Schizosaccharomyces pombe: one gene and its partner. The gene in region 1 interacts genetically with each later gene. Each region holds a gene or a part of one and is shown in the gene's direction. Other genes may lie near its edges.

Region 1 (3,706 bases):
GCAGAGTGCAGTAAAGGATTTGCTAAAGGAGAGAAGAACCCGACCGTTTCAGTAGAGTAGAGTAGAGAGGAAAGAGGAAAGGATGATACATCATTACTTTGAATACGATACAACACAATTCTTTCAGTACAATGTAATTCACTTCTATGCAATGCAGTCCACTTCTATGCAATTCAGTCCAGCGCAATGCAATTCCATACATTTCATTTCAATTCATAATTTCATATACTAGCATACGATGAGATGTCCAATTTATTAAATACGTTTTCTCTTTCTCCCTCCCTTTTCACGAAAAGGCAAGAAAAGCCTTCTTGTTCATCATACGGTATGCTTGCAATTTTTAAGTGGGTGTAAATAAACAGACACACAACGCATAATGAGATGATGAAGAATTTCAATACAAACTGATTTGTACAAAAAAAATTAAATTATAAAAAGAAAATCTATTCAATTCAATTCAATTCGTGAAAAAATAAAAAAAATAAAAAATTCGAAATAAAATTACATTAAATTAATTAACGTAAACTGAAATAAATCAATTACTAAATGTAGAAAAGGTATGGTCTTATTTATTTCATCATATATATATATATATTTTTTTTTGAAATACATTTGCTTTGATTCTTAAGAAATAAATTTTTTGTCAAAAAAATTTCCAAAAAAAAAAAAAAAAAAAAAAAAGGCTTCAGAAGTTTGAATGAATTTTGTTTCTTCAAAGTTTTAATTGATTTCAATTCCTCAAATATTAAATAATTTTTTAAACAACAAATTTCTTCGTGTTTTACTCACTTGTGGATGATTCATCATTTCTCACCGTTACTATTCCTTTCCTTTTTCAATCTTTAATCCTTTCTTTATTCAGTTGTATCCTTTTCCTTTTCATCACTCTTATCCCTTTCTCCTTTACATTTTACAATCAAACTCCATACTTCGCTCTCCTTTCAACAAACTATCCTACACGAATTTATTTATCTATTTCTCACTTTTTTTTCGCCTCTTGTAGCCTTTCCTGCACTTAATCATTGTTTTCCCTTTATTTACTCTTTTTTCAATATCTCTAGCTTTTGCAAAAGTCATCCGTTTTCGCTCGTTCTTTCGTTTTTCATCCATTTTCATTGTTTCTCTATTCATTTCCTTCTTTTTCATACCATTTCACCCATCTTTTCATACCATTTAACCCATCTTTTCCCGCCCATCTTCTTCCTATTCTTCGTTTTTCTTTTACCATCCAAAATTCTCTTTCATTAGCCTGCTGTAAACCGATTATAAGCATGATCGCTATAGTCGCCGCTGACACAGACTTATTGAGCCAAGAACAACGTCATTCCATGATCAACGCTATGACTGCTATCTAACCACCAACCACCGACTTGACTTTTACCATATAAAAGCAAAGCTTTCCAACTAACAACTTTCTAACAGTTTCGTAAGTGAAACATATTGACTTTCCTCTCAACAACTCGTGAAGGTCTCTTTTTGTATTTACCCATTCTACTTTTATTTTTTCTTTCGATCAATATCTCCCTTAAAAGTTAACCCTTTTGGAACTTGGCTTTGGATTTAATACATATACATTTTATTTATCCTACAGCAAAATCCAAAAATCTTTTATTCACTTTTTTAAGTCTTTGTTACAAAGTATTTCGCTCTTCCGAAAAGTCGTCCTTTACTAGCTATTTTCTTTAGTCGGCACTTTTCAGAATTAGTTTTCTTTAAATTTTCTCTATTTTTTACTATATCTTAAAAAAAAAACACTTGCACCCTTTTTTAGTTTAAAAGGTTTCTCTTTTTTTTTAAGGCTTCTTTTGATTCTTAGTAACTGTTTTACCTTAAGTTGTTATTTTAAAATTGAATATAACACGCAAATCATGTCTGAACAACATTCATTAAACCCCTTTGAATCCGGTTCCGTCACTGCTTCCGATGTCGCCGCTGCTAAATCCGGTGCTGAGGACCTTGTAAATACTTTGACTGCTCACACCGTTCACCCTTCCACCGAATTGCCCTCTGCCACTTCATTTCCCTCTGCTCTCCCCAACTCTGAGAATCCCGTTATTCAAAACATCTCTTCTTCCTCTTCCGAGCCCCACCACACCTCTCAATCCACACCTGGCGAGACAAGCAGTCCCGTCTGCCCAGTTTCCGGCGCTCACGGAGGTGCCGACAAAAAATGCCCTGCTTTGGAGGCCGGTTGCCCTTTTACCAACACTACTAAGCAAAACGTCGATCCTGAGATCTCTAATGCTTTGTGGTCTGTGTTGACTTGGAAGAACACCTCTTGCAGTTTCTCTACCTTGATGAGTATTCTTGCTCTCGTTTATGTCCCTTCTTGGATCAATCTTCCTCGCCTCTTTTTCAGAACTTTCCGTTATGTCTTTTTGATTACCTCCATCATTGAATTCGGTGGTCTTTTCGCTTCCAACGGTAAGCGTGGTGTCTTGTCTCACTTCCGTTCCTCCTACATCACCTGCGACTCCAAGGCTCTTGATAGGATTGTCAACTCAATTGTCGACATTTTCAACGTTATGTTGATTCAATTCCAACGTATCTTGTTTGCTGAGAGCCCTATTTTGACCTTTACTGCCTCTGTTGCTGCTTTTATTGAGTTTTTCCTTAGTGGCTTCCTTTCCTACAAGTCTCTCTTTGTTTGGAATGTTTTGTTTGCCTTCATCCTTCCCAGATTGTATGTATGCAATGAGCGCTCTATCAAGCATTTGGTTGCTTCCCTTGAGAGATCTGGTGATAAACTTAAAAAGCAAGCTACTGAGACTATAAACACCACTGTTAACAAGTAAACCTCTGCGGGATAATTTGTTTGATTGTTTCTGTCAGGTTGCGCTTGATTTTTATTTGGTTCGCTTCCTCGTTTATTTTAAGGTTTCAATAGTATCTTTTGCAAAAAAATGCAAGGGTAATAACCATGGTTTTGTTTTCAACTTTGAAAATGTGTTGCTGTGTTGTGTTGCGTTTCAAAAGTGTTGTATTATGACTTGAATTAGGAGATTGAATGCGTTTTCTCAATTATTTTGCTTATGACTATGAGTGTTTATTTTCATAAATACGTCTTTCTCATCTCGATATATTGTAAATGTAACAGGTTCGGCTCAATCTCTCATTTCTCTTCTGAGTTGCAAACTATTGCAGTGTGGTTGAAGTTCTTGTTGCTTTGCTCAATATGATGCTATTTTATTATATTTTCTCTGCTTCGTTTAATACCCAACGTACTTATTATTCGTAATTTAATCTCGTAATTACTCCGTGTTGTTTTGTAGGTCCTCCTCGTATTCCTTATTGCTGCTCTTTTCGAAAAAAAAAATATATATATATATTTTCCATAACTAAAATGGGTCTGTGGACGAAAAAATCTATTTTGTTTAACCAAATGACTAAAGTATTTGTTAACCAAAAATTATTATTTTTTTTCCACTACTTCGTATTTAATACAGCCGATCATACAGTAAAGTGCTGATTACACTCGCATGATCGTTGTCTGCTCTCACCACAAGTCATTCACTTATATCAATGTTGTGCCAGCTTTTTACGTTTAAGCTCAAAATTTCCTTTGTATCCATATATTAGGATTATTGAAATTCAATTTATTGTCAATTTATCATGCCGCAACGCTATTATACATGAGTTCCAAGAAAGTCAAATACAATCCTCGAAAAAGCGCATCTCAAAATGAAGCTACCTCAGCTTCAGCAGG
Region 2 (3,704 bases), on another chromosome or scaffold:
GGTTTAGCCGTTCATCATGGCGGACTGTTACCCATCATCAAGGAAATAGTAGAAATCCTTTTTCAAAGAGGGTTGGTGAAGGTTCTGTTTGCTACTGAGACCTTTGCAATGGGTGTAAATATGCCTGCAAAATCGGTGGTTTTTTCCGGTACACAAAAGCATGATGGACGGAACTTCCGTGATCTTCTTCCCGGAGAGTATACACAATGCTCTGGACGCGCTGGACGCCGTGGTCTTGATGTCACTGGTACAGTTATTATATTATCGCGTTCAGAACTTCCTGACACAGCTTCGTTGAGACACATGATTATGGGGCCTTCGTCTAAGCTTATAAGTCAATTTCGCTTAACATATAATATGATACTTAACCTCCTACGTGTAGAGACGCTTAGAATTGAAGACATGATTAAACGCAGCTTTAGTGAAAACGTTAACCAAACATTGGTGCCTCAGCACGAGGAAAAAATAAAAAGCTTTGAAGAAAAGTTGTCGGCTTTAAAGAAGGAAATGTCTGATGTTGATTTGAAAGAAATTAAAAGTTGTTTATTGAGCAGTGAATCTTTTAAAGAGTATACCAAAAAAATGCACTTCCGAGCAATAACTACTGCAAATGGCAAAAGAATATTTAAAGATGGAAGAGTCATTGTTTTTCAACAACTTGATTTTACTCGCACTGTTGGAGTTCTACTCGGAACATCCATTAGAACCAATGCTTCAGACTGTACACTGGAAGTTGCATATTTAAATCCACAGAACAACCTCAAACGACCATCGGATTTACTTGCTTTTGCTGACGCGTTCAATGATGTTTATGATAACGCTATCTTTGATGAATCAAACCAATTCAAGTATGGCCTTATCAATCTTTCCGGTATTGAAAGAGTCTGCAATACGATCCTTCGAATTGATTCTGGTGGAATTAGAGACCGTCGAGGGGGGGCTTTTCGAAAACTTAGTGAACAATTTGCATCAATTAAAAAGTTTTCCGACCTGCTTTTTGAAGAAGTTAATTGGAGTAAAGTCAGAGACTTTGAATTTTGTGAAGCTTTCGAAAAACGAAATTTTCTTCAGAACAAGTTATCCGGAAATCCAATTATCTCGACTCCAAACTTTCTTACTCATTTCGCCTTAGCTTACCAAGAGTATGAATTGGAAAGCAATATCGATAACTTATCTTCCTATATTTCCGATCAAAACCTAGAGTTACTGCCTGATTACGAACAACGGATAAAAGTATTGCAAGAACTAGGATATATTGACGCAGAGCGAACTGTTTTACTAAAGGGAAGAGTCGCATGTGAAATTAATTCCACCAGTGAATTGGTATTAACAGAGTTGATTTTGGAAAACAGTTTGGCGGACTTTTCTTGTGAAGAGACAATAGCATTGTTGTCTGCATTTGTTTTCGATGAGAAAACGGAGGTTGAACCCACAATTTCTCCTCATTTACAAAAAGGAAAGGAAATGATACTATCAGTGGCCGAGAAAGTTAATCAAATTCAAGAGCACTATCAGGTATTGTATTTTAATGAAGGTAATGATTTTGAATCACAACCACGATTTGGTTTAATGGAGGTTTGCTACGAGTGGGCTAGAGGGATGTCTTTCAACCGTATCACAGACTTAACAGACGTTTTAGAAGGATCGATTGTAAGAACAATTATAAGACTTGATGAAGTTCTACGTGAATGCAGAGGAGCAGCCCGTGTCGTCGGCGATTCTTCCATGTATACGAAGATGGAAGAGTGTCAAAATCTAATTCGCAGAAACATAGTCTTCTGCCCTTCACTGTATATGTGAATTTAATAGTTATATATATTTGTAGATTTAAATGATATTCATATGAAATTTTATGTGTTTTTCACGAATTTTATTTGTCTTAAAAGTCTTCGTATTCCACCTTGCAAAGTTTAACACCACCACATATTTACAAAGATTAGCATTGCAAGAGAATTGCGTTTCTAATATGTCTCATGGACCAAAAGGTGATATAAATAAACAAGAATGGGAGGATGTTGAATTTCCAAGCATCTGTGAACGTTGTTTGGGCGACAATTCATATGTTCGTATGACTAAGGAGCCACTTGGACAAGAATGTAAAATTTGCTCAAAACCTTGTACAATCTTTCGGTGGATAAAAGAACGCGGCCAAAAGCCTGGAAAAACTCAAATTTGTGTTGGTTGCGCCAGATATAAGAACTGCTGTCAGAGTTGCATGCTTGATTTGCAATTTGGTTTACCGGTAAGTTCAATATTTCATTCAACTATAATAGTCAGCTAACGTTCCATGAAGATTGCCCTGAGGGATGCAGCCCTAAAACTGGTCGAAAGCGGTCCCACTAACGATATTAATCGCGAATTCTTTGCTCAAAATCAACAACGCCTGTTAAGTAATGGCGAAACGGCCTACGATAGCCAGGAAGCAAGCGCCGCTGCAAGAAATCTTGTTAAAAAGGTAGAAAAACGAGAATTACATTCAAGACCTCCTAAGCGAAAATTAGATGATGTTGAGTCTAAGCAAATATTAAAGGAGGCTCGAGCATCTGATGCATCTTTAAATGCAGAACGCCCATTATTTCCGGTTAAAAAAATTATTAATGGGAATGTTTCCTTGTCTATTAATATGGAACCTCCTAAAGATAAAAAAATCGTAAGTGCGACTTAAAAGTAATTTAAGCTTGATGGCGCATTGTATTGTGCTAACATTTAGGCATCCCTTTTCCTTATTGGCGTCGAAGATGAACTAGCTGACTATAAAATTCGTAAACATTTTGAACAATATGGGCCTCTTAAATCAGTTGTGTGTTCTCATCGAGCAAAATGCGCATTCGTAAACTTTAAAACTCGTTCTAGTGCTGAGATTGCGGCGGCGGCATCTCCCGATGGAAATGTTGTTATAGAGGGGTTTCGACTGAAAGTTCAATGGGGAAAACCTCGTTCTCTTGGAGGACCTGAGGGTGAAGTACGAAACGCAAAGTTGGCAGACCTTGTGATGCGAGGTTCATCCCATGGAAATAAAACCTCCCAAAAATCTACGATTAAAAACATTGAAAATGAAGATCATGAAAATACTAAAAGCCCTGCAGTTGCTATACCCATTGACCCCAATCAACCCCGTTACCGATCTCAAATTCCGCGGTGAAGTCAGTTGGTCATTTAAAACCTTTGTAGTAGCTATTAACTTATTTTCTCTAATACTGACAAGCTTTATTCTGTATTTTCTTGTTTATTTGTCTTTGCACCTTTTCTGTCGTCTCTCGGTCATTCTCCTTAAATAATCAAATATCTGCTGCTTTACCTTACTCAGCAAAACACTTTGGGTTTTGCATATTTTTTACATTATAAAGCATCAATTTATTTTTTCTGAATGGATAGTATTGAAAAAACTCCTGACGGAGAAGAAGAGGAAAAAGATGTATGGGACACTGCTCTTGAAAAAGGTGGATGTGTAGAAGAGCACCTTCGACTGAATGATTGCTATTGGGATACTCATGATTGGAGGAAATGTACAGAACAGGTAATTATATGTCTTTAAAAAATTTAGCTAATTCTGATATTTTTAGATGGAAGAATTCAGGAAATGTTGGGAAAAGAGACATGGTCCTTTGCCAAGTATCTCAGACAAAAAAAATAAAAATTTATCTTAATGAGTTTCTATATCATGTGATTTTGTGAAAAAAATAATTATTCTGTTTACGGCAGTT

Evidence for each region. Genes that interact genetically often act in the same process or in processes that back each other up.
Region 2: mutations in rtn1 (region 1) and cwf5 together harm fitness more than expected from each alone (negative genetic interaction), as found in Schizosaccharomyces pombe (one large-scale study listed by BioGRID).

Annotation. Positions count from the first base shown.
Region 1 is NC_003423.3:1,261,767-1,265,472, reverse strand, and holds rtn1 (reticulon Rtn1), read left to right. Parts: upstream 1-1,868; coding exon 1,869-2,795; 3' UTR 2,796-3,175; downstream 3,176-3,706. Other genes in the region: protein dbl7, read left to right, coding at 3,633-3,706. UniProt on the Schizosaccharomyces pombe protein: Required for the correct positioning of the cellular division plane by delimiting the actomyosin ring assembly at the cell equator. Overexpression causes cell lysis.
Region 2 is NC_003421.2:1,185,831-1,189,534, reverse strand, and holds cwf5 (Prp19 complex subunit, RNA-binding Cwf5), read left to right. Parts: upstream 1-1,912; 5' UTR 1,913-1,966; coding exon 1,967-2,242; intron 2,243-2,293; coding exon 2,294-2,650; intron 2,651-2,710; coding exon 2,711-3,142; downstream 3,143-3,704. Other genes in the region: Ski complex RNA helicase Ski2, read left to right, coding at 1-1,800; coa4 (respiratory chain complex assembly protein), read left to right, coding at 3,368-3,517, 3,564-3,647.